2 linked regions of the Kluyveromyces lactis genome follow. The protein of the gene in region 1 purifies or fractionates together with the protein of each later gene. This does not show direct contact. Links are inferred from orthologs where the notes say so. Each region holds a gene or a part of one and is shown in the gene's direction. Other genes may lie near its edges. The genes, in order: VPH2 and VMA22.

Region 1 (16,299 bases):
TATTCTAATAGATTTGTCAAGAGACACTAAGATGGGCCCCACCTATGTGAAACGGCTCAATGCATATAAGAATTCGTTGAAACAGGGAGATAATAATAAGAGGAGTCCTTCACCAATCAATGGTAATGTTATGACTTCAAAGGATGAGGAATCTAAGCTTGTTGATGATACTTTACAACCGACATTTAGGTTGAGTGAAATAACTCATTCCAAGATATTGACTACGATTTTCGGTGTAGATGAGTTGAAATTGCAAAGGGACGTTATCAGACTTTCTCTTTCGGTGAAGAACGATCTATATCTACATGAATTATCACAATACGAGCAAGCCATTATGAAAGACGAGGCGGAACTAAAACCCATCGATTTCGGTACTATGGATCAATACAGCGATTGGAAAGACCACCAACTGAAACACTTATCAGAGTTGAAGGACAAAGTGAAACACGGTTTCTCTGGCCATAACGAGAGTGGAAAAAACATCACCAAAGACATGCAATTGATTCCAAACGACCCCCGATTAATTTTCCAGACTTTGGTGAATTTGATATTGAAGCATGATTTTGTTAGACAAGAGCGTGATAACGAGGCATCAATTTCTCTTGATTCTAAATTTCTGCTATCCAGATGTCTAAGATACTGGTTAATAGATTATGGCAGCGCTGTATTTGTTAATGCGGTAAGTGGCTGTCTGCATCTCATACGGAATCTAGATTTCCCGGAAGGAATGAAAATGACACAGTATGTGTTCGGTTTCATGGAAACAAGGTTATCTGTGGAAGCACCTGAACATACGGATCCCTTGGGATGGAATAAGAAGGATCAAGACCAATGGTCAACCAACCAAGTAACAATATTCCTATGGTTAACGGACGAAGTATATCGATGCATTGAATGTATGTTTAGTTCCAAGACCAGGGACACCAAATTGAAATCGGTAATATCCACATACCATGCGTTAGTGGAGCACGATTCCGTGTTAATAGAAAGAGATTTCCAAAAGAGTGATATGTACAAGAAGCAGATTCATAAGTTAAAGAAGAAGACTTTCCTCACCATTGAACAAAGGTACATCAGTTTAATTCGTCACGTCCCCACAGACAGTGAAATCAGTATCAAGCATTTACACGGCTTATGCGAGTCGATTCTTGATGACATAGCTTTGATAGAAACGAAGTATAAGCCTTTGACAAATTTATCATCAAGATACAAGTTTGTCGGCATAATCATACATACTTATTTCTCTGCGTTGTTCAGAGATTTGAAGATATTGATGCAGAGAATCAAGAAATACAACAAACCTATCGACACAGATGCACTCGACACGTACAAGCTTTTGAATGAATTGAGATGGAAAAACTACGAAGAATCTGGATCCATCAGCAGTGAAGGTTCCATATTAGAACCCATCTTCTACAAATACCTACTAAGCTTTTGTGAGAATACGGGTGATGTAGTAAAACAAGGTTGCGAAAGGATCATCATCCATGAAACTTGGGAACCCATGGACAAAGAAGCTGATCAATGGTATAGTAGGTCTGCATATGATATTTCTCGACTCATCTCAGATACGTTAAGACTAGTGGAACAACTTCAATGGAATGATCTGGCCCAGTTGGGTACTGCCTACTCTGTAGTTTTGGGAAAGATCAGTGAATGTGTTCTCCATTACGCAAGATGTATGGAAGATATAGTGAGAGAAGATCTATGCATAAGCGAAAATGATGAACAAAATGGTCAAGGCCAAGGCATGGGACACAGACTGGGCAACGATGTATCTATCTTCAAGGACATGAAATCAGCGATCCAATCTTCCAAGTTGTGGAACAACCAATGGAAACAACAATTGCAAGGCAAGAGAAGACGTTCAAATGTTGATGCTGTTGATGCTGCCTCAGCTGCCTCAGCTTCAGATACCGAATCTGCAACAACAACGACTACAGCAACTGCTGCTACTGGATATGTGATCTCGATGAGAAGCTGTGTTTGTTTAAACAACATGGCATCGATATTGAACATGATTGATGAAGTAGAGAAAAGTTTCCAATTAAACCAATTGAGTGAAGAAGTACGTGCTCACGTGACCGACGACAACAATAAGAAAATCAAATCGGAGATTAAGGGCCAATTGTGGTCAATAGTTCCGATAGCCGCCGAAGGTGCTCCTTGCGTCGGCGGAAAGGATAACCAGAGCCCCAGATACAGTTTGTCAATTGTCGACACGGCCAAGCGGCATGAGATATACAGGACGCTAGTTGGCGGCTTTCCCGAATGGTGGGAAGATGAGGAGCTAGATTTAGAACTGGAACCTCAGGAAAGAATGTCCTTGTCACTTGTTTTATGGCAAGAAAAACAAGAAGCTGGAGCTAACCGCCAGCGCCGCCATCGTAGACAGCGGAAATACAACTCCGGAACTGGTACTAGGACATCAGAGACACAAGGGACCGGCGGCAATGGCGGTGGCGGCAATGGCAGCGGGGTTCCCGTTGGTCGGTGTTATTTAGATCTTGACATGCCAAGGGATATGCTGAAATCGCGTAAAAACGAAAGCGGACTGGAAAAGTCACTTGTCTTACCACTAGATACTCAAGGGCGTATACACGTAAGAGTATGCCTCGAAGTGGAACGTGCAGAACCTGATTGTATCGTTGGTAAGACACGTAGAATCGTCGCACGCATATTGACCCAGAGCTTGAAACAAGTGACAAACAGATTTGAGCCATGTATTAATGACTCATTCTCCAAGAAGTCATTGAGCATGTCTCTTTCATCTTCAGTCCCCGGACAACGTCCGACCGATGATGACATCTATGACAGCCTTGTCCCACTCTTCGATCATTTGAACGAGAACTTGACAGTATTGGCGCAAGCACTTCCTACTGCGTTATTACACCAGATTATGCTACAAGTATGGAACAAAATCCTTGTTGCTGCAGACGCTCTTTTGCTTCCGCCATTGCAGCTCGCGTCAATATCGTCAAGTGCAAATTCAGAGTATAATTTTGGCAGTAGAGGCAACAGAATGTCTTACAGCGGTTCAACCAGGGGCAGCTCCTCCGTTTGGGATACCGCCGTGTCCGGATTCCAAAAAGTGTTACAAAAGCCGGGATTCACCGGGTGGTCATCACCGTTCTCCAATAATTCCAACTACAACAACACAGTGGGAACCTCACTAGAAGTAGAAATAGTATTCATGTGGATTGATATTCTATGTCGAGACTTCTTCCACAATAACGGCGAAGGTCCTCCGTTAGACAAATTGAAGAACGACCAATACCAGCAACTCATGCTAATTGCCAGTCTGTTCGACAATGAAACCTGTGAATTGAAACAAACCATAGAAGAAGAAGACCAAAGGTCCGTACCTTCTCTATCGCAATCGGTGATGGTCGCTCTGCGGATATTGTGGTCGCGTGGCGACCACAAATACGTGATGAGCCAGATTCAATCACGTGACCGTGATATTCGAGCCGCGGTGGCAAAACTCAGAATCACCTCCAACGACTAGTGATTATGTAAACCTACCCGTACCTTCTCCTTTTGGTTCTGTATTGTGATAAGGAAAATCGAGACAGAAATGGAAAGGTTTTGCAGGGAAAAAAAAAAAAAGAAAAATGGAACCTAAAAGGGTAAACGGAATGTGCTTCCTTTTAAGGTTTCCTTTATCGAATGCCGTTATCTCGATGACTGCATAGACGTTATTCCTGTCTAGGCAAGTCAGCTCAGTGGTGATCATATTACATGTGGAGAAACTGGGCATCTTTTATATCTGGTAAGTGACAGCGAGATAACCACATACATATACATTTATATATATATATATATACAGTGAAGAGATGTATCAATATTATACAAATGGATATGACCACTATTGAAGTTAGCTGAACAATTGATCCAGCAAAGACAATTATCACTGAAGTTACCAAATCCGTTAAGCAAGTACGTCAGGGAAATCATAACATATCATGTCTTTCACAGCTACTCAGGAAAAGGTTAAGAGCGAAGAAGTTGGCACCTTGAGTGCACGCACTCAAGGTGTTCACAACCTTTCATCTGGTGGAATCAAGTACAAGCATATCAGACCACAGTTCAAGGACAAATACGAGGAGCGTAGACATACTTTGGAGCATATGGCTGCTGTGTTTAGAGCTTTCGGTAGACGTGGTTTTGGTGAGGGTGCTGCTGGTCACGTGTCTGTAAGAGATCCAGTAGACAGAAACACGTTCTGGATCAATCCTTTGGGTTTACACTTCTCTCAGATGACAGTGTCAGCTCTAGTGCATGTCGATGAGGAATGTAACATTTTACCTGATGGGAACCAGGCTGCTATCAATGCTGCAGGTTTCAAGATCCACTCTCATTTACACAAGGCAAGGCCAGATGTTAATGCTGCTTGTCATACCCATTCCACGTATGGTAAGGCATGGTCTGCGTTTGGTAAACCATTAGAAATGTTAAACCAGGATGTTTGCATGTTTTACAAGAAGCATACTGTGTACGAGTCGTTTGGTGGTGTGGTATTGGAAGATGAGGAGGGACAAAGACTGGCTGAAGCATTGGGTGATAACAAAGCAATCATCTTACAAAACCATGGGCTTTTGACCGTTGGAGAGACGGCGGATGAGGCAGGCTATTTATTTACCTTGATGGAGAAATGTTGCCAAGTTCAGTTGCTCATCGAATCGGCAGTCAGATCTGGTCTTGAAAAGAAATTGATTGGAGATGAGGAGGCTGATTTCACATATTTCAACACTTCGGACCCAGAAACATTATACACAGAGTTCCAAGTCGATTACGATCTCGAAATGGAGCTAACCAACGGGGCATTCCTCAAATAGACTGCCTAACTAGTTATTAAGTATCACATTCTAACGTACGTACATATAATGATGTAAAATAATGATTACATCACGTGACTCTTGTCGAAAGGAACTACGGAGGCGGAAAAAGTAAGCATTAGGAGTCCACCATTACACTTGACCTTAGCTACCGTACCCCCTCTCAGATCAGTAAAGCTGCCATTTCGTTCTGTTTACTGATTGTGTATTTACAAATATTAAATTCCAACGAAATGTCGTCTAATGTCAACTACTTACTAGAAATGCCTTAAACGAACACAACACTACAACAAGCAAAGACTGCCAAAGTCTGTGATTCAAAGGTGCAGGCTCCACGTCTATCTGTAATAACTATGGGTAAGAAAGGCTACTATGCCGTTGCAAATGGCAGAAACGTTGGTGTTTTCGATTCATGGTCTGAATGTCAAGAATCAGTAAACGGTTACTCGAACGCGAAGTTTAAACGATTCGATACGCCAGCGGAAGCTAGAGCATTTGCCAACAGCAGCAGTAGCTCAGGACACTCATTCCCATCTACATCGTCCAAATCCTACAGGTCGTATTCTGGATCCAGTTCAGGGTCCAGTTACGGGCACTACGGAGGCCATCAGCAATCTACTTACAACCAAGCACCCTACAACAGTCACAGCTCCTATAGTAATTACCACTCAAAAGCAGCAGCAGCAGCGGCAGCGCCACCACCACCACCTTCATCTTCCTCATTCTATGCGGTGAGAAGTAGTGACAGCTCAGTACCAAACAAAGTGTTTACCAACTGGGCCGATTGCAAAAGCTACGTCGAAGGCCGTAGAAACCTTTCCTACAGGAAATTTGACACTCCTTCTAAGGCAGACGATTTCATACAAGGACGTGCCTCTAACGAAACGATATATTCGCATCTCAATACTACGGCGTCCCAATTCTCACAAGCTCACAAAATCACACCTGAACGCCGTTCCCAAGTCCGTGTCCCAGCAGCACCATGCAACGTTTACTGCGATGGATCCTCTTTCAACAATGGATTTGAGGGTGCAAGAGCCGGGTACGGTATATATTTCGAGGGCGAGGATAGAAGAATCGCAAGACCATTGACGAATGGTAACCAAACCAACAACAGAGCTGAAATCTCTGCTGTATCTGATGCTCTCTCTGACATTTGGGACAATTTAAAAGAGGGCAAAAAACTGAACAAATATGTGATTCATACCGACAGCGAATATGTCTCCAAAATGCTTAACGATTATGCGAACCATGTGGACCCACAACAACTACAAAAGGCCCCAAACGCAGATCTAATTGTACCAATGGTCCAAAATTACACCAAAGTTAAACAATTCTACGAAGTGAACAAAGACGTTGTCAAAGACAACGGTCTCGAAGTGAAATGGGTCAAGGGACACGCCGGTGTTCCAGGAAACGAGATTGCAGATCAACTGGCTAAAGAAGGAGCTATGAAAAGGCATTAGATAAGCGTAGAGGAATTACTTGGACCCTGAGTTGTCAACCAGACACAATGAATATCAAAGTCGAAGGGGGAATGCAAAGGGAGAGAGCAAGGGTCCAACTTAGAGAATGCCAAGCCATCTTTCATCACCAAATAGACACTAGATGATTATTAGAGTGATGATTAGATCCCTGATGAGCATAAGGCTATGAACTATTACCACATAAACCCATACACCACATACTGAACACAGAAAACTCCAACTTTTCACCAAAGTTTCTCAACAAAAATAAAGGAAAGAAATGAAAATTTGAAATTTCTTATAAACGTCATCTTAGTTTCCAAAACAAACAAACATACAGATAAAAACAACTCGTAGCAATAGGAGTTTCATAAAGGGTTTCCAGTTCGTTTTCTGCTATTCAAGAGACTTAGTTTATTGGCTTTTGATATATATAAGCTAAGTACAGGAGCTAAATAAAAGAAGGTATCTTTATTTCTTTGACTAGCTAACAATACGGTTTTTTTGAGATCCGGTTTTTAAGGTCATATAAGGAATCAGCTGTTTAAGATTTCCGAGAGAAAATAGGGACAAATAAGCAAGCAATGGTTGTTCAGTATTCAGTTCCAGTCGGACCTGCTGCTAATGAGCATGAGACTGCTCCAAGAAGAAATGCTTTGGCGAAGAAGGCTCCAATTACGAGGCCTGCCGGTATGAAATGTTCTACTGTTTATGAATTTGCCGTCGAATGTTTTGAAAAGAACGCTGACCTTAAAAGTGTTGGATGGAGAGATATCATCGACATTCATAGGGAGAAGAAGATGGTCACTAAGAAGATTGACGGCAAGGACAAAGAAGTTGAGAAGGAGTGGTTTTTCTATGAATTGAGTTCGTACAAGTACACTACTTATAAGGAGTTGAATGAGTTAGTTCATGATTATGGTCGTGGGTTAGTGAAATTGGGGTTACAACCGGCTTCTGAGGATAAATTGCACATCTTTGCATCAACATCTCATAGATGGATGAAGACATTTTTGGCTACGCAGTCTCAGGCCATTCCTGTGGTGACTGCATATGATACTTTGGGTGAAAAGGGTTTAATCCATTCCATGGTTCAAACCGCTTCTAAGGGTATGTTTGTTGACAATGCATTGTTGTGTAGGTTGCATAACGCTGTACAAGAGGCTACAAACTTGAAATATCTAATCATTTCTGAAGAGTTGAACCCAGAGGATAAAAGGGATGAGGGTAAGCTTTACAAGGACGCTGCAGACGCATTGGCTAAGATTAAAGAGGTTAGACCAGACATTAAGATTCTTTCCATGGATGAAGTCATCGAATTGGGTAAGAAGGCTAGAGATGAAATTGAACCACATCCTCCAGCCCCTGAAGATTTGTCAGCTATCATGTACACTTCCGGTTCCACTGGTGATCCAAAGGGTGTCATCTTAAAGCATTCTAATATTGTTGCAGGTCTAGGCGGTATCTCTTCCATTATTAGTAACAGACCAGAACACGTTTGTCACACAGATCGTGTCATTGCATTTTTGCCCCTGGCTCATATTTTTGAGTTGGCTTTCGAATTGATCACTTTTTACTGGGGCGCTACACTTGGTTATGCGAACGTTAAGACGTTGACCGATGCATCTGTTCGCAACTGCCAAGGTGACATCAAGGAGTTCCAACCAACTATCATGGTTGGTGTTGCCGCTGTTTGGGAAAGTGTTAGAAAGGGGATCTTGGCACAAATTAACAAGCTTCCTGCGTTAACTCAAAAGGTGTTCTGGACAGGTTACTATGCCAAATTAAAAATGAAGAAGTTCCACATTCCAGGTGGTGACACTCTAGGTAACATTTTGTTCAAGAAGGTCAGAGAAGCCACCGGTGGTCATTTAAGATTTGTGTTGAACGGTGGTTCCCCATTGTCTAGAGAAGCACAAGAGTTTATCACAAACTTGATTTGTCCAATGTTGATTGGTTATGGTTTGACTGAAACCATGGCTAACACAACTATCTTACAACCAGAACATTTTGAATACGGAGTCGCTGGTGACATTGTCGGTAGTATCACTGTCAAGTTGGTCGACGTTGAAGAATTGGGCTACTTCGCAAAGAATTCTCAAGGTGAAGTCTGGATTAAAGGTGAACCTGTCACTCGAGAATATTACAAAAACGAGGAAGAGACTAAGGGTTCTATCACAGATGATGGCTGGTTCAAAACTGGTGACATTGCGGAATGGACTCCAAAGGGTCAATTAAAGATTATTGACCGTAAAAAGAACTTGGTGAAGACTCAGAATGGTGAATACATCGCATTAGAGAAGTTAGAATCCGTTTACAGATCTTGTCCATTTGTTCAAAACATCTGTGTTTACGCTGATCAAACAAAGGTTAAACCCGTCGGTATCATTGTTCCAAATGAGGCTGCCATCACCGAGAAGGCTATCAAGATGGATCTACTGAAAAAGGGCGAAGATGTTACCCATTTGTACCACAATGACACTTTGAAGCACGAAATCCTCCAAGAAATGTGGAAGGTTGGCAAGAGCCAAGGCCTGAGCGGTATTGAATTGCTCCAAGGTATTGTTATCTTCGAAGAAGAATGGACTCCACAAAACGGATTTGTCACATCTGCTCAAAAACTACAAAGAAAGAAGATCCTTGCTGCTGTTCAAGACGATGTTGACGAAGTTTACTCTAAGTCAAACTGAATTGACAATGTCCTGTTTGAAAGGCAAAAACCATGTAATTCTCATGGTCTTCCCTTTTTTTTATCGTATCGAATGTCAAATTTTTCCTTGACAAACAAACTATAATGATTTCCACAAACTTGAGACAGCTATATCTACTAACTTACTTCCATGTCCGGCGTATAATGTATTATTACGGAAGTAAAGAGAACCGACTGATGAAATGCTTTTTTTGGCAAAGTTTTTAACTAATTGGTGTATAGATGCTCTATAACGACTTTTAGCATTTAACTCATTTTAATTATTCTAAAACAATAAGACAAGCATTAGTACACCACATGTGTCTTCACCTTGAATTGAAAGAGAATATTTGAACATGCATTTTTGTAAAAACATAAACTACAAACGTCGTAATATGTATATGATTGAGGTAGCACCAAAACTCAAAATTCTCAAACAAGTTCCTTTCTCAAAACATTATTGAAGAAAGAATCATTATCCCAGTACAAATGATGACCAGCATTAGGAACTATCTCCAACTTGGTGTTGATGCATTTTTTCCTCAAGAAATCATTTATTCTCCTGGCACCATTGATATCCATCCAATCGCTATCACCGTACAACCACACCCAATCCAAATGACTGCTGTTGAAGTTCTCTTCAGTAAAGAGTCTTGTCTCTAGAGGAACTCTTGGCCATCCACCGCAACCTAACATGAAAGATAACATGTATTCTCCAGATCCAGGTTGGTTGAAAATACCGTATGTGTAATGGTGCAACTTATCAAAGTTTGGATGATGCAGACCGAATCTACGAGCTGTCCACCCACTAACTAATTTTGAGCCCACATGGCCAGCATTTCGAACCAACGAGAACGGTGAAATATTTTGATCCCATAGCTTTAAAAACCACCATGGAGGAGGGGGCATATCTTTGTTCCTGGAAATTCCTCCAGGAGAGCACATGAATAACTTTTTGAAATGTTTATACTTGTTGGCATAAAGCGAGAATATGTATGCACCCATCGAATGTGCAATCACGTAATTATTTTCCCAACATGATATAAGTCCTTTTTTATCGAACCATTTGTGCAAGGCATCATGGAAGTAGTCTTCTACCGCAAGATACGAATCCTTTGGATAATGGAATGGGAACATTGGTCGCGAAGAGAAGCCATAACCAGGTAAATCGATGGCATGTACCACCACGTTTTCTGATAGCAACGCATTAAAGTTTTTCAAGTAAAAACCTAAACCAGCACCATACCCATGAACCAAGATTATATGTTTCAATGGTTTTCCATCACTTTCTGGCCGTATCGGTGTGATTTGAAATTCGTTAATGTAATTACCAGCAGCATCTATAGGAGTCTTGATGATTTTGGAAGAAAACCTCGCAGATGGCTCAGGATAGTACGGTAACACTGATAATAAATCCTCTTGGAATTGTTCTTTATTGATATTGTATTGTTTATAATCTTTAAGAGACTCTGCGAAAGATAATGGGAACAACTTATGCAGATTAGTAACAATCTGAAGCAGGGGAAGACCAATAGGAGCAGTAGATTTACGTACTGTATTAACACGAACAGATTTCTTATTCGTGGAACCTACATTACCAGTACCAGCAGTGACGCCTACATGCTCTCTTTGTAGTTTATTGAACACCCCAATGACTTCTCTGTAGCGTCTTGCTAACCTCCAAAGCTGGGAAGAAGAAGACTGGCTAGACATGTTTTAACGCTTGATCGCACAACAAAGTAAACGGATTCTAGTAAAACTTTTAATTATAAGGTAAAGCTTGTAACAAACGATCGTCTCCAGATCAATTGAGCTATAACTCTTTCACCACTATGAAGAAAAATCACATAAAAAAACCGTGAACCTGAACAGGAACTTTCAAAAGTGCGTTCTTAGTGAAAAGAAAAAAACACCAAATGTATCTTCACTGGCTCCTGAACAACACCTTATATTTCAAAACAATAAAGTCATCTCATGACCATCTATTCGTAAACCAACTGCTCTTCTCTTACTTTTACGTATGTTGAGCCTTTCCGATTTCTCAACATCCCAACAAATTCGCAAAAACCATGCGATGCTGAAGAGGGAAATGGTGTTACCCGACCATTACGTTATCATGAGTAGACACGTGACCGTAAAGATCTTTAGGTGTCCTCGCTAAGGTGATGATCGGTATCACCTGGTGTTCGGTACCGCTCAGTGGTTGTATTTGGTGTTGGGATGATCGTATCTCCAAAGCCTGTTGTGGAAGGAGTAGTTGGAGGGATTGTTGTAGCTTCTGTTGGGTTTTGTTGTTGCGGTTGATGATGATGGTGGTGATGATGGGTATTCTGATGTTCTGGATCCGTGTCTGATTCAGAAGCGTCTCTGGTAGGCGTTTGAACTCCTGTACTATTTCCAGTGGTGTTTGTTGAGTTTGATTCTTGACACCAGTACCTATGAAATTCCCATGATTTCAGTTGGCACAGTCTTGAGCAATATTTGGTGCGCTTACACCTTCTACATTTGGGGAACTGTTTTGGATGATCTTCCCATTTCCCACAGCTGAAATTAGCACACTGCCTGACTCCTGTAGCCTCATGTTTCCTGCACGAGTTTCTCATTACCACGGAGCTCCAGTAGTGCACGATTTCGTTTAAGGAGCCCTTGACGGTAAACCTTTCTACAAGGGCGAATAGGTTCATTGTGTCACTATTGAAAATCTTATCCCAGTCATCATCGGTCAATTCTTTCGAGAATTCATGCTGCTGGCAATATTCCTTGAATTTATCATGTAACGACTCCTCCTTCCTCAACCTGAAATCAAATATATCGACATTGTTGTTGTTATATTCTTCATCCTCTTCGGTGTCTTTCACAAGGCAAAGATGCTCAATCTCTTTGAAGTATTTTTCTATTAAAGTGAGGTCTGGTGAAAGGTCCATCTTATCCTCCGGAGGTTCATCAGTTTCTTCGTCGTATTCATCGTCGTCTTCATCATCCGCTTCTTCTTCGCCGGCAACGTGCAACGTTAGGGGTGTCATGTCCAATTCCATATTTTTTGACATTCTGATCTTTGCATTCTCAAGAATCGGCCTGAACGAAAGTGTACCGACGAGATTTGTATTCTGTAGTATTGGCTTCACCGCAGTGTTTTTAGTCAAGAATGCCAGAAGTTGTACAGCCCATGTAACATCATCTAGCTCTGGAATCACTTTACCCAAAAAGAATCTTCTTGGTGGCAAGATTATGACATTTTCCAGTGCAGAGCCCGGTAAAGGTACACATAACTCTTCTTGAGCAAGACTTTGCCAATCTGTATCCAATTCTGTAATAAAGTTAGGTTTCAAATGTAGGCCAGCTACATTCTCCAAGTCAAATTCAAATTGGTTCTCGGTGGGTCCCAATAACAATTTCAACCTTTCCATCGATATGAAATCCTTATAGTAAGAGTCCTTGGGATCCACTTTCTCATTTGATTTCCTCAATTCATCGTCCGTAAACTGGAATAGATCCGAATCCAAATCTGCTAGTTCACTAAACGTAAAGGGAATGGCCGTATTGTTGATGAAATCGAAATTCTTACAATAGATCATATAGTTATCCAATACAGTAGCAATAATCGGAATTATGCCGGACTTCACCACTTGCTCTCTTATACCAAGTGTACCTCTCGTACCAGTCAATACCAAACACTGATAAGCCAACGTCCATTTCCATGATAAATATGCCAGATGTCTGTCTCTCTTGACCGTTTGTAATGGATTGGATTGATTCTGTGCCGAAGATACCATAACCTGTGGCAAATTCGTTATAGGGATATAACATTCGTGTAAAATTGATACCAACCGCTCCAACGCACCGTCACGAGACATTGCCTCTCTTATCAGGGTCGACGTGGAGCATAGGAACGCCAGATGGTTCAATGAATTAATTAATGGTAAATCAGAAACATTATCCAAAGCTCTTCTATCGTAAACGGTCTGAGATATACTAACGGTAGCACGATTACCAGTCACCGATCTGTAATTGGTCTCTCGCATTCTTTAAAAACCGTAATTCCAGCTAATGCACACCAGATATGATTATATTATCTGGAAGTAGGTATTTATCGCCACCCTTAATACAGGCTTCTATCAATGGTTTACTTTGCTTGTGTCAGATTAAATCCTTTTATCGGTATAATAATCAGCTCTGAGAAGTTGAAAGGAAACAAAAGACACTGAAATAGTACAAGTAGCACGATCACTTACTAGCCGATCTATCTATCAACAGTACAGTAGCAGCAACTAATTTCGTGATGGTTTCTTTCTTATCCAGTGCATATATTGTATTTGCCATTGCATAGACAAATATCAACAAAAACATCTCAGTTAAAGATAATTAATTTAAAGGTTTAGTGCTAATGAAAGAAGAATGGAACTTTGAGAAATTATGAATGAAATAGCAAACGAAGTTATCTACTAGGGTCTGTATCTACTGCAAGGCTAGCAATAAGACAATTCTACATATGTTTGACATTACCATCGACGAGGGGCTCTTAAGACAAAGACTTGAAAAGTTGAAAGAAGATCATCGGGCATCGTTAAGTTTACAACAAAATAGCATATCATTTGAGCTTCTATCGGAATTGTACCAACAGTTCTGGAGGGATGATGCCACCGTAAGTATGAAACAGCTATTGAAGAGTGGGAAACTTCGATACAAGGAGAAAAGAGTTCCTGGTGAGGGATACTCTGAGTCATTCAAAGCTGAGTTGGAAAATCTGAAGGCACTGCAACAGGAGAAAGAGTACCAAGAGATGCTCAAGCGAGATTCATTGCATCTGGCCGGCTCAACAGCTGACAAGGAACCCTCAATTGCACAGATTAACAAAGAGATTAAGGAGCAGGTATCGGCAGTAGTCAATGTATTATTGACAGTGTTCGGAACCATCTACGCTGTTTGGTACGTGACCAGAACAGGATGGGATATTCACGTCAGGGTATTGCTCTGTCTATTCAGTGGCCTTCTAGTGTTAACAGCAGATGTGGCAATGTACAACGTTTATAACAGGAAGATTGAAGAGGCGAGAACCACCGAACGTAAGAAGAAAGTTACTAGGAAAGTGGTGAAAAGGTTAGTGTAAGAAAGAGACTTTAATTTCGGTTATACAGTCAGTATGAAGAGGGCAAGTAAAAGTGTAATATGGATAGCCAGAGGTATGGGGGAAAATAAATTCTGATTTCATTTCCGGTCAACGGAAACGGCCAATGGTGCGGCAGGTAAAGAGTCTAGTGCAACACGTTTAGTTCTTTTCAAAGTTTCAATCGGTAGAGCTCCAGATATTTTTGGAAACACGCGAGTTCTAGTACGAACAGGATCTGGCAACTGACTGGCGTTTTGCCAAGTTTGGTAGAAACTCCACTTCAACATTATCCAATATAGCCTCCAGAAATTAAAATCTGGCCATAGACAGTCGACAAACTCGATAATACTACCTTCATGGACCTGCCATAGCATATAATCTGACAACCTTGTGTGTCCACTTGTTCTAATCAATAGATCACATTTATTGGAGTACTGTTCGAAATACATGTTATCAGTCAAGGCTTGTTCTGTGATATCCTCGTTAGAATTGATGCATTTGTCGGTGGTAACCTGCATAGAATGTGCAATATCGTTACGCGATGTGTAGGGCAAGGCAAGGTACAACACGAACTCTTGTCCATCACGAGTCAATTTCTCTGCGTTACGAATCTTCTTGAGCAACTCTTCACTCAATAATGAAAGATCTCCTACGACTCTTAGTCTAATTCCGTACAACTCATCCTTAGCATTTGTTGCACGTTCAGTAAACTGATCGATATAATATCCCAAGAGTTCCATGAGAGTCGCGACTTCCTGAGGAGATCTATTGAAGTTCTCAATGGAGAACGCATATGCACTCACACTACTCACATTCAACCTTCTGCAGATATGTAAGATGTCTATTAATGTTGCGCCTCCGGCTCTATGACCCTCTTTCACAGGTTGATCCAATTTCTTTGCATAACGGCGGTTCCCATCCATGATAAACGACAAGTGTCTGGGAACAGGACCCATCCTGAGGATCCTTACCATGAACATTTGTAGCCATGCAAATAGCCTTGAGAATGGATACGATCCTACATCCTTGTAATTTAGCCGCTGACGTATCTGTTGCAAACTTAAAGAACTCACTTTATTGAGGTTTTCATCGTTCTGTTCGAACAAGTGAGATACATTCTCACCATCCAATGTGACTAACGGTTTCTCTTGGCCCTTAGACCCCTTAAATAGCTTAAAAGTCATCGCTTTTGCCTTGTTTGTTTCCTATTTTCGTTCTTTACGAAGTGGTTGTTAGAAGAAATAACTAAGCGCTTTCAAATCAAAAGATCTTCTTATATATATATATGTATTAACCTATAACGGTTTAAAACACGAACCATATAAGGGGACAACGATCTTTGCCGCATCCTGAAACGCCTGAAACATGTATGCGACTTAGTGATACATTGGATGAATATTAAAGATCAACTGAATAGTTAACTAATTTAAATTAAAACTGCATTAAAACTAAACTAAACGCATCAGGCTTTCACTTTTGCATAAACCTCTTGTTATCAACAAGGTAGTTGTGATCTTATAAGAACCTGCTTTCAACTGAGTATACCAATTTCAATGTTTGTTCCATGAAGGTTAGACATAAGACTGTATGAGGTCCAATTCTAAGAATTTGAGCTCCGAAACCTTTGTATAGCGCTGAGAGACCTTCGTTTCTCACTGTCTTTATGAAACAGTCAATTGGACCGCTGTACAAGTTGCCCTTTTGGTTATAGACTCTGGTTAGCACGACATCCCATGGATTCATGGCGACACCGACACCGAACCCTGCGATAGTGGAAGACAAAAGATGTAAACCTGTCCCATCGTTCATCAAGTCGTGTTTCAAGAGGAAGTTCTTACAGATGTTGTAGATAGGCAATTGAACAGCAGAACCGATACCGGTTCTTAGCATTGCTGCGTCAACACCTCTGAATAAACCTTTAATACCCTCGCTACGGAAGATAGTTGCCAACCCGTTGAAAGCAGAGGTATAATGCGTTTGTTGACCAATATGAATGGCGTTGGAATATGATTGCATCCTGGTCTTGACCAAGAATAATGGCGATCCGATGAATGCACCGACGACACCGGAAGTAGCACCGGCGGCAACGTTAATACCGATGTGCTGAACCTTGTGTGATTCCACGTTAGGGTAGAAAACGTTGTTAAGTATTCCTCTAATTGGTTCATAGAATCCCAAACGCGATCCGTTTAACGCTAT
Region 2 (16,201 bases), on another chromosome or scaffold:
AGGAAGGAACAACTGATATAATTGTGATCAAAATCATTGAAGACAGTAATGAAGAACCCTATGATGGCAATGCTTCCGTTGATGGGGACCTAGTTCCAGTCTCGGATGATGAGTTTTCTACATCTGCCGATAAAGAAATTATCAAAACGGTATGTATTCCTTGTGATAAGTTATGAACAAATGAGAAGACTCTTAATAATGAATAGATTACTAACCTAAATGCTATATGATTATGATGAGGATAAAGAGCTACCGAGCTCTTTACCATTGTACTATGTGTTTTTTTTTTCGGTAGAATTACAAATTGAATAAAGTAGGAGATGTATCAAACGAAGAGTTATCAACACTTGCCGTCAACGCGATACAACTAAGAGGATTGTAATTCTTCGCTAATGATACAACCAAGACCCATGAATGCCTCTGTTAACATTCTATCATAAATGAAGTCCGCCCTGAATCCTGAGGCTATATATTCCTTCTTCTTTTGTAAGTCTCTGATGAAAGAATCATTATACTCGTTTTCAACCAATTCGTATCTTTTGTGTAAATCCCTGTCCCCATTGAATGGTGTGAACGGTACAGTATCTTTCTTCTTCATTCTACCATTTGTCATTGTCATGTAAGGATTGTTTCTTAACACTTTATTTAATTCTTCGAGCTTCCTTCTGGCAGAGGATTTCTTTAGCTTGACAGTCTTTTTCACATTTTCAATAACTTCCTCAGCATCTTCATTCACTGTGAGCTGGTTGACAATTTCTCTCTTTGCCCACTCCCTATTAGCCCTCTCTTCTTCTTCTATCTGTTTCTCTAGTAGTCTTTTCTTTAACTTCATTTCCTTTTCAAACTTCTGTCTCTGTTCGAAGTTAGCGACATCTTGTTTGCTCCGCTCTAAATTTGCCATGATTAGCTGTTTGTTTAATTCTTCGTAGGTTCGTAACCTCTCCTCGGTCTTCTCCATATCAATACCATGGTCTAAGTTGTATATAATATCTTCCACTTCTTCTAGGTATTTATCATAATCGTCTTGGTTGTTATCGAAATCTTCCAGCGTCTTGTTAAACACATTGAAAACACGTTTTCTTATATCAACTTCCTTCTCGACACCTACATCATCAAAGATTTGGGTCTTGAACTTATTTCTTCTCAAAATTTTATCGCACCCTTCGTATGGACACTGAGCAGGACCCAAACTGAATATACGATCCACGCATGATTCACAAATTTTATGATAGCATTCTGGATTGATCAAAAACTTCATATCAGGCGATAGATACCTGTCTGTTTTACAGATAGGACACATGTCCTTCTTCTCATCTTCATCCATGATGACGATTCACGTTGATTCGTAGTCCCAGATGATTTAGTTTGATATCTATTTCTTATTCATTGTCCTTACAATTTGTTCATTATTTATCATCAACTTTTCAAATAAAGGTTTCTTGTTTTATACCACCGATATTGAATGATATTGTATGACAGAGACAGCTAAAATCACAAAATGATGAGAAAAGGATTACTTATGCGGCAGGCAAATGATACTGAAGACAGTAAAGGGAGCATTTACTGAGGAGACCTACTGCGTTGGTGAGCAAAATGTGGTTATATTGTGTATATATGATTTTTTATTAGCTAAGTTGGGGCGTTTATTGCCTTTCTGACAGAATTGTATATTTTATATGGCATTAACTTCTTCATTGTCTTAACAGGTTGCTGAAGGAAGGTTGATGTAAATACGATTATCTTTACCATGGTACTAAGTAGAAAATTTTTTGATGGAATTGTTTTACTGCTTTTATTGGTTTCTTCATCTAATCTTTCTCTCAGAAGAGGAACGTAGCTTTCTTCAAAGTGTTCGACACTTGATACAGAAACCAGTTTTATTGATTCGTTCTGTTCAACTTTTGTGGACTTTTTGAGCAAGGGGCTATGTAAAATTGATGGTGGGTTCAAAGGCGGGGTTGACTCCAGAAGAATGTCTTCATCTACGTCTCTGCTCTTGCAAAAATTCATTACCGTACTTTTATCTTTGAAAATGTTAGCGTTCTGATTCTTGTTCACCCTTCTTTGTGCCAAATCTTCCTGTTCCTTCAGATCATCCGCTTGCTTTTTAAACCTATTCAAACCCTCTTGTGTCAAATCAATATAAAATATTATGAGCATTACTGCAAATCCAACTCTCTGGGAAGAACCAAATCCTATGTGCCAGAGGCAGGTGTAAATCGGAGAAGAATTTCCATCAGGAGCCAAACATAAATGTATGGCAGAAGCTCCTATTGAAACAAGAATCGCATTCATTAGGCCATATATGAATAGCTCTTTCCAGTATTTTCTCAAAATTGGATGCAATTCATCATATTCCATTAAGTATTGGTATGCATAATCATAGATTTCCCTGATGGAGAAAGTAATATCATATATGTTTCTTGATATCACGTAAATAGTCATATAGCAACCAAAAAGCCTATCAACTTCAGATAAAGTTAGGTATTTGGTATTAGTCAGTAGGTCGTAAGATTTACCTGAGAAAGTGTATTGTTCGTCTGAGAACGACAAAATATGTACGGTGACAAAATAAGCAACTTTCCATTTCACTGGCCATGAAACTATCCATTTCATGTTCATAAGCGCATTGAAATAAGTTGGCTGTTTTTCAGGAGGATCAATAAAGTGATTGAGGTATACAATTTTTTGCGGGAACATTCCTGGTATTTCTTCTCTTATCTTGTTGTTCTCTTTCTCTTTCTCTTCTGCTTTGGCTTCTTTATGGCCGGTATCAATCCTACTTTGAATGAAATTGTTAATGTTATCAACTTTAGAATACGTTTGCTTTATGTCTTCCTTGATGGTTCGAAGTACTTCTTCTACTTGAAAGTACTCTTTATCGTCCTCACCCTCTTCATGTCCACGCTTCACAGGATACTCGAATTTGAAATCTTTATTGTGAAAAAGGGACTTCTGTTGATTTTGATAGTCCTTGAATTCAATGACATTCCCTTTTTCAACTAAGCTAACTCTTTGTGGACGTTTGATGTAATCAGGAAGAGGATACCCAAGAAGTTTAGCACATTTTTCACTTATCTTTTCAGATGTAAATTCGCCATTCAAATCACCCATCGGTTTAAAAAGTTTATCAGTTTTATTAATGGCTCTTCTTTTCAATTCAATCTCATCTAATGGCCTCCATGACAGTTCTATCTCGGAATCTGTATCGTTTTCCTTGCTATCATCATTATCAAAATCGCTATTATTCATTTCCAAATTCTGATTCTCATTGTTTTTGTTAATTGGATAAGGATACTCATTCAAATCATGTTGAGTAGTGGCCAACAAATTTTCCTTGGTATTTCTTCTTGGCATTGTAGTCTTCCTGGTTTCTTTCAACCTCTTCATCAATGCTGTGAAGTCAAAACTCTCTTTTTCGCTATCTGTCGTTGTGCTCGAATTTTCATCTAGAAACTGCCGCCCAAGAGCATGTGGCAACTTATTCGGATTTCCAAGCCTGGGTTTACTCATTGTATAGTTGATGACTTGGTTGAAATTACTCTGAACTATTGGCTATTCATAAGTTTAGTTTCAGGTTCAAGCCGTTTTGTTTTTGGACAGACATCCTTAGTGATTACGATATTGATAAAACTGACGTCTTTATTGAATATTTTGTGTCAAATTTGAAAACTCGAACAAACACAAACGCGAAAAAGCTCTCGAGAACAAACCTGTTGATGAATCTATTGGATCGATAGTGGCTTATTAACTTCCGAGTTGCTTTCAGTGTATGCGTGGAGGTTCACGGTGGCATCCATCGTGCTGCGAAACTAAAATAGATCATTCTCTCACGTGACAGTCATTTGAACTGACTTTGAAATATTTCAACTAATAATAGATTCATATGACCACCTTAGATACAAAAATAAAGGAACCTCGATTAACGTTGGAAAGTGAACTGATGCTTACCACATTCGATCCAAACAAGCTTGTTTTCATTGGCTAGAAACAATATCAATCTTTAGTGTACTTCACGGGATCCTGTTGCTAGGTAGAGATCAATCCTGGTCAGAGATTAACGATGAGTACAAACCCAGTTCGAAAAGGCAGATTTAAAGCCTATATCAAACATGATTACCAGTCATTTATCAAAGGTGATTCGCTACCATATGAAGATAGCCTCGTCTGGGACCTGGCATTGAGTGCTTTAACAGTTGGTTATCTTTCAATGGTTCATTCTGATAGATATGGCGATATTTCTACTAGTGAGTTTGAGATTTGGAATCAAATTACTGATAGAATAAAGGGTAAGTTTTTCATTGCAACCAGTGTACCAACATTAATTGAGGTGCTGGCGAAGCTTACTGATATGTACTCTTTGAATATTGAGTTCTGGAAAACAGCAAATAACGTGGTCTTGGCTAGCGTCCTGGTAACGTTATACGGTATTTTAAGGAAATCTAGCGTGTCAGTAATGATTAGCTTCCTAGTAACGATAATGTTCTCGCAGATATCAAGTTTCCAAGATTTAATTTATACGCTCAACTTTGACTCTTATCATTTGCTAGCCTTAACGTTGCTAATCTTACATTGGAGGAAATTTCAGGCCTCCAAAGACTTTTCCGTCGATTGGTACATGAATATAACACTTGTTTCGATGTCATTGATTTTCGTTATAAGTGGGAAATTCATAGGGTTGGTCTCTTGGATATGGCTCATTATAGTTTCTTTGAAATCACTTTGGATTGTTGTGGGTGATTTGGATGTTAAAAACAGACAACTTTTTGCCATTATGTTTTGTAGGTTATTGTTCTTCGTCGTTATTCCCTTGATGTCTTTATGGTACTCTTACTCATCATTAATTGGTGGTTTCACAACATCGTCAAACTCAATAGCGTACATGTCGTCATCTTTCCAGCATTATTCGATGAGCCAGCACAATGATATTCCATCTTCCATCATTTACGGCAGTTCAATTAGGCTTCGCCATGTTAATTCTTTGGGCGGATATCTATCAGCCTTAGAAATACCATACCCTAAATCTAACGACACATTGGTAACAGTTTCTGACGATCCAGATGATGAGGCTAACTTTTGGATCATTGAATCTAATAAAGGAAGAAACACTGAACAGACAGGTTCGAACGCATTAGTAAAACAAACGGACAAGGTGAAGTTGAGAAACAAGAAAACAGGTCAATTATTGAGAGCTTCTGAGGAAAAACCTCCAATATCAGACAAAGAATATGATAAGAGAATATCAGTAACGGGTGACAGTGACTATCAAGGGGATCAAGATGAATTATGGAAAATTGAAATTCAAGGGAAAGCATCATTCAGAGAAGTTTTGAGACCTTTCAAACAATTCATTGTTTTAAAGAATCCAGCTCGCCGTTGTTCGTTGCTTTCACATGAAATCAAAATTCCGCATTGGGGTGACAGGCGTCAAGAGGTTCTCTGTGTCGATCCTGCCAGAGTCAATAGAGCATTGTTTTATATTGACTTTGTCAGCTCGCCTGAGGCTGGAGTTGTTGAGAAATACAAATGGGCCCCTGAATACCCTTTCTATAAATTGGCTTTTGAGTACGTTGTTGGTCAATTCAGATTGAACAAAAGGCAAAACATCGATAATACGAGCATGTCTCCACCTGATTGCCTGTCTTGGCCGATTCTTTTCGACAATAACAACCAAATCGGTAAAATCTTATGGATAACTTCTACGGTATCTGTGGGCGTGTACACTTTCATGGAAGCATATTCCTGGTTATCTTGGAATATTTTTGAAGATACTTTACTTAATACCACTGCAAACCAATTAATGAAAAGAGAAGTCACCTTGGAGGCATTTTTAGGTTGGATCCTGCACTTATACATTTTTACTTACAGCCTGCACAGAAATCTTTCCGTTAACCAGTATATGCCCTCTCTATTATTTGCGGTGATCATTCTTTCACAGTTCTCTGTGTTATAGAACCAAGAATATCACAGCGAGCGGTGGTGGCATGACGGGGCATGCGGATGCTATGTTTAGTGATGATGTTGCGTGTCATTATAAAAATAAACGATGTCAGACAATCTGTCTGACATCGTTTCGGAGAAGAAGAAAAGGAAAAGAAGCTAAATATCTACTATATACCACTTGATACATTAGACACTATGTAAAAGTATTCTTACTCGCAATTTGACGTTAACATGTGACCCAATTTCTACCGAAGATTTCAAAATGATTCCTTTCTTATACTAAGCGTGCTTCTGTCTTCGATTCATTAATGCCAATCGTAAAGTCTTGGGTAAGTGTTCTTACTTTTTCTTGCAAAGCGTCCTTCCTTTTTATCGCGTCTATCTTTTCCTTCTCCATTTTGATCAATTGTTTCTGTAGTGAATCTATCCTATGTAGTTGCTCTTGTGCAGATACGTCTACTCCGGGTAGAGAATCTATTAGAGCCATTATCTGCCTTGTTTTAAGTATGATGTCTGTTGTCAATTCATCTATGTTCTTTTCAAATTCCTTTTCCTCAACAATGTGGGCCTGAGGATCTGACATCTGCTCTTCTGAATCGTTACTTGGTTCAAAACCATGGTTCTTATCGACATAATTTACTGCACCGCAAAATTGTTCCATCATTTGGTCCAAACATATTTGTAACTGGGTTAATCTATCGGTCATTTTTGTACACTCTTCCTTGCCTCTACTGGAGCTGGTTTGTCGCAATATTGCTAACTTTCTTTCACCTTCGAATTCGTTTATATAAATCATTGACTATGATTAAGTTACAAATATTTCAGACAACTTCAAAAGTTTGGTTTAAAACGTTTATGACTGAATAATATACGTAATATGAGAAGAAACTGCCACGATTTGGATATTAATAGACGCTAGGAAACCAATGATGACGGAGGATGACATATATCAACTCATTGTTAAGAATCTTGCAACCTATGATTCTCTATTAGAGCAGTTGCAAGCTAGTTTTGAAGAAGGTTACCATCAGTTGAGCAGAGCGAATTATCACAATAAGAACACACTTCGAGGATCATATGGTAAGGATTACTGGGACGAAACTTATACAGGAAACAGGTATATCTCCATTAATGACAAGCACTCTGTTTCGGAGACTGAAGAGCCGTTGCATATTGCCAATGACGAAGAAATCATTCCTGAGAAAGATGAAGCAACCAATGAGAATTTAAAGAAGAGAAAACAAAGAGAAAAACTATTGGCAAAGGTGAAGAAGGATCCTATATATATGTTCGGAGGTGCCCTTTCAATCCCAAGCTCTTTGAAACAATGTCAATTATCTTTCAAAGCTTCGATGCCGGTACTTTATCAACTACTAGAACTTCGACGTACTCTTAATGGTCTACTTGACGCACTAGGGACTCTGTCAAATTCAGCTTAAGAACTTTATAATTGCTATGGGAATGATCTTATATCAGAGTTAATACAAAAGAAAACTATCTGTACAATTGCTAATTTGGAAAGAACAGTTTACTGGAAACGAAAATAACGTTGGATGGCGCCAATTGAAAGACGTACAATGAGTGTATATCTGTACACATGCAGATTGGGGATTAATTATTAATAAATGAACGACGAAGGGTTAATCTGTATCAAAAAGAGAGCTGATTTCAGTAAATGCAATAACGAGTGAAAGATGGGTATATTTTCTTGAGAACAATTGTGAAAGTGAATGGAATGGCCCTGGCCACGGGTGAAGATCATAGAATAGATTTATAGTAAATGTTTGAATTTCTAGCGTAGGAAAACTCACTAGAGCTTTCATCCAATGACGATCCAGCATCACTAGGCTGTAGATAGCATAATAAAACATCATCAACTGACCTTCTGGTTCTTGGAGAGTCTAAGTATTCTGATGGCCTTAAAATTGGTGTCAGAATTGGATCAGAGTTTCTTTTCAATGAGTGCTTTGGTGTAATTGATTTTTTTGGTACTGATTTCAAGTCATCCAAAAGCATAGTCTCTAAAAGATCCGCAGAATTTACTGGTGTTTCCCATTGGAATTTGTCTATTTTCTTGTCTCCCGTTTCAGGTGTTGATACCTGGAGGATTGATTGTTCTTCTAGCAAAGTTGGGAACTGATAGTTTTTTAGGAAATCGACATCTACTTCACTGGCATCTGATTGAGAATATTTATGCTTCAAATGTGTCTTCTCTAGGGTAGTTAATTTTGAAATGGAACGCATATGCGAATCGTTTAGCAAGGAGGTAGCCATTGTTGAAGTTGATGTCACTCTTTGGTTCGAGTACGTACTGGATCCAACCGAAGAACGTTTTGTAGATGACCCTCTAGAAACCAGATGGTGTTTAGCATATGGAATTGCATCTGTTACGAAAGCTTTAGTCATTTGCGTTGGGGAATTGATTGTTGAGTTTGTCGGAAATTTGGTATTTTCCGGTATATCCTGTAAGTGACTGTTAGATGGTGGTGGTGAATCTGCAGTAGGCATTTCAAATCCTGCCTTAGAATCTGCATGTGAGATGTGATTAAATCCAAATGGGACAGAAATTTTTAACTTAGGAGGTTCTTCTTTACTTGATTTATTTTGAAACAGTTTTAAGAGGCTGTTCTTCTTCTTCTTGAAAGATTTCTTTCCAGATTGTTTATCATACGCATTTGGCGGCAATGGAGGAAGATTAATGTTTTTCCTATTACTTAAGACAGGTTTATCACTATTGATCATTACAACGCCCAATTCATCATCATCGTCAGAATCCAGAAGCTGGTGAGCTTGTAAACCATATAATTTTTCTGTTTCATCGTCTTCATCGAGCCAGATCGACTTGATCTGAGGTACGTTCATCATAAGTATTGGCCCAGATCTGTTGGTTGTTTTATTCGGCAATGCCTGGTTTCTGATGATTCAAATCATGGCCTTTGTACCCTGGATCATGTTTATCCGTTTATATATACATATATCGGCCGCGTCCACAGTGGTAATGTTTCATGCATTCCTAGGTTTCACAATTTTCTGACATTTTTCGCATCTATGGTTAACTACTACTGGATTCAGTTAATTTAGGAATTCCTATATTAGGTAAAAACACGATTTTTCATTTTCGCACCCTCTTCAGGAATGCAGATACGTTTCGTTGATCGAAAATTAATGTTTTCTAACCTCTCTAATTCACCATCGCCAATCCGGTTTTTTCTTTTTTCTTGGGTTTCATGTCTTCTTTTTTTCTTTTGGCGGCCGTTATTTTTTCTCAAGTTTCTACGGCTTTTTTTCGTGGGTTAGATAAGTCATTAGTTGACCCAACATGGTTACCAATTACGACTATTTCACATTTTTACTCCATAGACTTTCTAGACTCTTAGAACTGGCGGTTCTAGGTTCCTCGGACTCTTTGGAAAAGCTTGGTTGGGGTGTGTATTCATCGGAAATGCTCAAACTATTGAAAGAAATTTCAATGAACTCAGAAAAGTCTTTCACTATCGCATTATTCTCGGAGTCATCTGCTGAAATCGATGTCGGGGTGAGATTTACGCTCAATTTTCGTCTGTTGGTTGAATCCATTCTCGGTATCACTGGCCTAGTACCTGCTCTATAATCTCTCTCCATTGCAAAATTCATATATTTGATTTTATCCAATTCTTGGTTCGATAACGGTTCTGTAACAAAAGCCCTAGAGCGCTTGGAAAGGAATGTACTATTATTCGTTCTTGCAATATCAGGTGTCGTTGGACGACCAGCCAATAAGTTTTTAATGTCATCGCATTCGCTCAAGGACTTCTCTATACGTTGTTCCCAATTTTCTTTCCGTTTATCCTTCAAACTGCTTCTTTTAAGAATGGAAGAGCGTCTCCATTTTCGTAAGTAACTCTTCACCTCGCCCATTTTAACTTTGTGTGGCACTTGTTTTCCCAAGTTACTGCCTTACGTACTGTCTGTGTTTTTTATATAATAGACCGTTTCTATGTAAGGCGGTTTATGATTCGAAGAAGAAAATCGTAAAGTCTCCAAGCTGGATACTTTTATACTCTTTTCAATAGCCGCTGAGCTTTTGATCGGATTTACACCATGTATGTGTTGCGGGTAACAGTAACCTGCTCTTTTTACAGATATTAGAATGAAAAATAACTTTGGGTTTAGAACTTGATAGTAAGTTTGACTTTGGAAACTAAACGTAAAATTGGACATGTTAAAGATGAACTCAAAGTGGATTGAAATCACCGATATCATTACTCTTACCCATAATTTCCTAAATTTACCTTGTATCCATCTTTTGCTTAATGCTTATTGTACTATTTTCCTTATATAAATATAAAATCTATTATATATCGTATTATCGGTACTATTGAATGCTTCGAGAGATTCAACAGTAGAAGTGCAGTATGAAAATTAAGTTCATGGTAATTCAGCTTTTTGTTCTTTTCGAGTCATCACTTTCCAGTGTATCTGGGTTTTTCCTTTTGACTATTTTGAACGATGAATTCTGTGTAAAATCTTCATTGACTACATCTTCGTTACCAATACAAATGACTTGCTTATAGCTCTTATTTCTTAATCTACCATTTAGAAGTACCAAACTAGCAAGCTCGCCCATGGATTTACGAGATTTGTCATTCGGAAGCCCAATAAAGTTCAAAATGCTTGTAACTCCAATGACATTACGACATTCTAGTGGGCTGGTTGCTCCACTACTGACCACGATTCCTCTGTTCCTGCAAGTTCTGATCACACTCTTCACGTTAGATACGAACTGCCTACGTGTTCTGATATCTCGAAGAGCGTTAGCATAAACAATTTCTACTTTGACTCCTCTCTTAATGCAACCCCCCATCATGTGATGTTTCAAAAGTGTAGGAAGCCTTTTGTCGTAGTAAAATGATAGCACATCAACATCCAAGCTAGACGTTACGAGAGTAACAGCCTTTTCACTGACTGGAAGGGCTGCCACAATATCGAAAGCTTGCGATATCTTTGTCAACGGCTGGCCTTTTGAAAGGTCATCTATAATAATTGTGATTCTTGTATATAGCTTTAATCCCGTAGATTTCACTAGTTCATCAAAATGCGATAGATCGATAGGATTCATATCATTGATTGATTTTGGGAATTTATCCTGTTGGTTTACTGTGAAATTTAAAGCTATGTGAGTGTACCCTAGTGTATGCAATGTCGCTAGAGTCTTGTGCAGCGTTTTAATCTCCTTCGTGGAAGGCGGTGTTGCAAAATCCTTCTGTGGCCAAGGAACGTTTAAATCAACTAACATCCTTTCAAATAGCTATTTTGCTTTGCAAATTTGGAAGGAGTATTTACAAGTGATTCAACAGAAACTTTTGTTTCCATTTGAGTGTCCAGCATACCTCATCTCATGCTCATGTTTCATTATTTACTAGATTTTTTTTTTGGTAGATTATTGTAATGTCTTTTCCGAAAAAATTATACTTGAAGATATTATAACATACTATGAAGTACAATCCTTACTTGAAAGCCCAACTGTTGAAAAATACAACTTTAAACTTCATCCAATCGGCCATGTCACAATGTTTTTGAGTATGAGAACAATATTATCTAAATAGAATAATTGTCAGTTTATTTATAGAGTACATACCTTACTATTTGTTCCATAAAGTGATAAAATGTCCGTTAAAATAGGTTTGATGAAAAACAGCGCCCAAAAAGGAACCATTATGATCTATGTGCATAAATATCATTGCGTAGAGTTCACATCTTCTGAATCTTTCGGTAAAGAAGGTAAGTGCTGATCTTGATTTACAGCTACCGCCCCAGTAGCATGGTTTGTATTTTCTTCAGTTCTATTTCCAGCCAGTTCCGGAACTGGGGTTTCTGACTGTTGTTGGACATGCTCAGTGTGTAATTCCTTTGTTCCCTTGTCTGCGGGAACATCATTCGTAACATAAGGCTGTTCTAGAGGGCCTTCACTGTTTTCTTTGTATGGAATAGAACTTGATTTCTTGTTTGAATTTTTGCTACCATCTTCTAGGAAATCAAGAACCAAAATATTATCGATTTCTCTATTAATATTCATGACATCGACGCCATTTTTACCAACAAGCGGTAGTTCAGTGCCTCTGGCGAACATCCATTCTCTCCAATGAGTATTCGTATTATCACATAAATCAAAAAGAATCATTTTTAAAAGGGTAATGTGGTTGTAAAACCATGAAACCGACCTATTGATGAAGACTCTGTAATTTTCCATTTCTTTGATTGCATGCAACAATGTATAATTGTGGAAACCTCTCTTATCTTTCGACTTGTCTCTCCAAAACTCAAATAATGCAAATAAGGCTTTCCGTCTTTGCCAAGTTCTCTTAGATTCTCTTAGCTTTAGACCTAAACTTACCAATCTATTCTCCCAACGGAATTCCATCAGGAAATATTCTAATGAATTGACGTATCTCTCGGTTAATATGACATTGGACAAAACTTGACAAGCCATTGAGGTTTCAATCTCAACGTCTGGTTTAAGGAAATACGCGTTGATTCTATCCTGTCTTGTTAACTCGGCGTAATCTTCTTCATGCATTGTTAATTTAATCAATTCGTCTTCTTTGTGTCTGAACTTCAAATCCAAATACTCTCCCGCTGTGATTGGAATTGTAGAACCTTTTCTATAAAAAAAACCTTCACGGCAGTAAAGTTCCACAGGGGATGACATTAACAAAGACGCTGCATTTTCTTGGGATTGATTGTTAGAGCTTGGTCTTCCCCTTTTATCTTTCTTTTCTGGTAACATCGGAATCATCCTGCTCATCTTTCGACGATCATGCAATGTTAGATGCCTTTTCTTATTTGGTGATTCACCACCAGATTGTAAAGTGGTGACGGAAAAGTTATCCTGCGAGTTTTCTGTCGAATCAACAGATAATTGAGAACTTGGTAATGCGTCTGCAGATCCTTGAGGAGTCGAATTTGGCATGTCTAACAGATGAGGTCTAGCCGAGCCATTCTCTTCTGTTTTTACACCAGTAGATGCATCATCATTCAAGATAGACAAGATTCTGACCTTACGTGGTCCCTCTGCTTCGTTGGACATTTGAGATCGATCACCGATGTCCGAAGATGTTCTTTTCACAGAGCCGTTCAGATCCTTGTGCTCAGAATTCAGTAACGACGATTTTTGACCGTTAACATCATCCGCACTTGCCGTAGAAACTGAGCCTACATTGCCTGGTTGTTCCAAATTGTTATATGCTGATATAATTGTTTGTGGTGTCACAGAGCGAGCAGAGTCTGGAGGATTAGACGAAGGTGATTGAGCACCAGAAGAATTCTCCGCTGTTTGCGACAGGGAGAAAGGTACTTTTGATAACTCTTCCAAATGTTTACTTGAAAGTTGATATTTACCCAACGGTACTGGAACGCTGAAAGGCACCGCTGTCATTCTTTTCTTCCGTTCTTCTTGTTTCATGGCCATGAAAAGATCTTTGTTGAGTTCCATGAAATTCCTGGTAACGTTACGATCGCTATATTTCATGGTGACTAGCATCCTTTCTCTTTCATCTCTTTTCATTTCGAGCTCCTTCTGTTTTCTGGAACGAGAGTCATGCATATCATTAGCCAACTGTTTCTGATCGTCTGTGACATCGCCCTCATCATCTTGCCCTTCATTATCAGACATACCGGAAAACGATGATGAAAGATCCGATTGTTCATCATATTGGCGCGAACCACTTTTCAATCTTTGAGATTTGCGTCTAGAGCTAGAGCTTTGCCTTTCCTTGGTATCATTATCTGCAGCATTTGTCTTTCTTTGTGAAGAAGTGAGTTGAGCTTCCCATGTGCTTTTCTTTGAAGGTCTACCTCTACGTTTCTTTGGTTCCTGAGGAGTCTCTTGCTTGACGTTAGCAGAACTACGAGATCGACTGTTGCCAACCCCATCTGCATCATAACCTGAGTTGGACTCCGTCTTTTCTTTACTTGGGTCCAGGAAAAGACGTTTTGATTTTGATATATGATCGCTTGGGAATGGCAATTTCGCCTTTTTATCGCCATTGGACAATATCGAAGTGTTCTTCTTAGGTGGTCTACCAGGTCCCCTATGAGGAGGAGAGACGCTTGCAGATGACATATATGCGGGTGATCCATACGCAGCAGTTCCCATCGTCCCTGACGATGCACCTGATGTCGCGGACATCGTTAACCTATCGGATAACAACCTGTTGATCTTGATGATCTCCACGGATAGATCGTTTATGGCCGCATCTGAATTCACCTGGTTCTTTAAAAGGTCCTCGAATTTCGTTTCCAAAACTTGCTGGTTATGCGATAAGTTCTTCAAAGTCACCACAACTGACTCAATACTCTTTTGAATTATTTCGTCAGTTTCAGGTAAAATAGACTCAATTTCAGAAACTTTTTTCTCAAGCTCTCGAATTGTACCTCGTTGACTTTCTAAACCCGCTTGCACACTAGAAATACCATTCTTGTCCTTTTTATCTACTACAGAACTATCCTTCTCTTGTCTGGAAACACCATTCTCACCAATTCCAATTTCACCATTATTATCGTCATGGCCTGTCATCGCAGTATCAGAATCCATACTGTCTCTGATTCAGCAAGCAGGTTTCGTCTGTTCTGACTCAAAACCTATAACAACAGATTCAATCCGATCTACACCCGTTAAATAGTCACTAGTACCCTGTAAAGCACCACTGTCGTTCTGTTTCTCGACAATAACGATGTTTAACTATTTATTGAATTTCAATTTCGCTTTTTTTTTTCTTTCACTTTTCCAATTTTCGTCGTTTTCACCTTAGTGCAAATGGAAAAAAACAATCAATAATAATCAAGTAGAAAAAAAACTCAGAAAATGCTGCCAAAAAAAAAAATTACTGTAAGGAAAAGATGGCGGAATACTGAATGTGTTAAAGTTGAATTTGATTTCTTTTGATGTGCGAGCAATGGTTATCAATATGATGAGCGGACTTTTGTATCGTTTACGAGATTCTCGAGATATGGATGATCTTTGCGGCAATTTTTGGATAATCTTAAATATATAAACATACATGTTCAGGTATATAAACCTAATATATTGCAAGTGAAAGTCGCAAAATAATGTCGTACCTTATTTTGCTGCTGTTAAAGTGGGTTTTTCAATTGAAATTTACACTCCAAATGGTAACTGTCCGGGGTAATAAATGTAAAAAAGAAAAAGAATTTATTGTCAAATAAAGATGTCAAAATACTGAGAGCGCAAGAAAGGGAAAGTGATCAGCTCATGAAGGTTTATTTTTACACTATATGATATATATGATACACATTTTCTTAATGTCTATATATTTCTCGACGTGTTCAATTTCAATCTCAATTTCACAAGTTGCTGTATGGTTTTGTTGACTTTAGCGTCAGATTCTGGTAGTGAGAATTTTTTGCACAACGTCACGATGTAGCCGTTAATAAAATCAATTTCTGTTTCTCTTAAATGTAGGACGTCCTGTCTCATTGAAGATGAGTTACTTCCATTCACTATACATCCCATATAAATGGTATTTTTCAGTGTTCTTTCTAAATTCAATCTGCCAGTGACGTCTAGTTCTGGTAGATTCCCACTTTCAGTATTTCTGAAGGTCTCTGGATAATCGAATAACGGTTTATATGCGATTTGGAATACATGAAGAGCCTCTTCGATGATCGAAGTGAAGATTGGTTCTGAACAATTGGCTAATTCTCCATTCATGCAGTCTATAATTGAAGTGACAGAGTTGATACAGCAATTGACTAGGAACTTCTCTAATTGTCCCAACAAAAGTTCCTGGTACGTCATATGGATGACAGCCAACGATTGGTCCAATGTTAGCAAAGCTTTAACCAGATCATTTTGCTTCCATTCATTCAATTGGTCTAACGTTTCTATAATATTTTCATCATTTTCGGGTAATTTCGAGACCTTGCAATCAACAAACCCTGCATGATTGTACTGATTCTTAATCTCTTTATCTTGGAAAATACCATGGCCAATGACACCTTGGAACAAATTTGATTGTAAGTCGCTTCCTGTGAAGACTTGTTCCTTCAACACTTCAGCGACACCGAGTCCGTTTTGAATCATGATGATGTTAGTGTCGTTGTGAAGGTACGGCAGAAACATTTTCAATGCCTCAGCCGTTTGATATGTCTTACAAGTGACGATCAAATTATCGATTTTGCCTTGGAAGATGCCGGGGCACGTCGCACTTTGAAATTGCTCTGTTAAGGGAGATAAACTCGCATCGAACAAAGGTTTGAT

The links.
Region 2: the proteins of VPH2 (region 1) and VMA22 purify together in Saccharomyces cerevisiae (affinity purification with western blotting; 3 studies listed by BioGRID, with this or other methods). This does not show direct contact. The link is inferred for Kluyveromyces lactis from reciprocal best matches to the Saccharomyces cerevisiae genes VPH2 and VMA22.

What each region holds. Positions count from the first base shown.
Region 1 is NC_006038.1:1,121,382-1,137,680, reverse strand, and holds VPH2 (Vph2p), read left to right. Parts: upstream 1-13,482; coding exon 13,483-14,100; downstream 14,101-16,299. Other genes in the region: KLLA0_B13002g (uncharacterized protein), read left to right, coding at 1-3,508; KLLA0_B12980g (uncharacterized protein), read left to right, coding at 3,966-4,838; RNH1 (RNA-DNA hybrid ribonuclease), read left to right, coding at 5,192-6,304; long-chain fatty acid-CoA ligase FAA1, read left to right, coding at 6,889-8,994; CLD1 (carboxylic ester hydrolase), read right to left, coding at 9,426-10,706; MYND-type zinc finger protein MUB1, read right to left, coding at 11,138-13,015; SRT1 (ditrans,polycis-polyprenyl diphosphate synthase), read right to left, coding at 14,199-15,284; OAC1 (Oac1p), read right to left, coding at 15,616-16,299. UniProt on the Saccharomyces cerevisiae protein: Required for vacuolar ATPase assembly.
Region 2 is NC_006039.1:1,282,465-1,298,665, reverse strand, and holds VMA22 (Vma22p), read left to right. Parts: upstream 1-6,869; coding exon 6,870-7,382; downstream 7,383-16,201. Other genes in the region: CGI121 (Cgi121p), read left to right, coding at 1-176; TFIIH/NER complex subunit TFB3, read right to left, coding at 368-1,324; KLLA0_C14850g (uncharacterized protein), read right to left, coding at 1,630-3,513; PMT7 (putative dolichyl-phosphate-mannose--protein mannosyltransferase), read left to right, coding at 4,064-5,953; SRB7 (Srb7p), read right to left, coding at 6,218-6,649; GIC2 (Gic2p), read right to left, coding at 7,702-8,808; KLLA0_C14740g (uncharacterized protein), read right to left, coding at 9,280-9,840; RNA-binding RNA processing protein RPP1, read right to left, coding at 10,361-11,218; SUM1 (Sum1p), read right to left, coding at 11,660-14,515; 2-dehydropantoate 2-reductase PAN5, read right to left, coding at 15,248-16,201. UniProt on the Saccharomyces cerevisiae protein: Required for V-ATPase activity.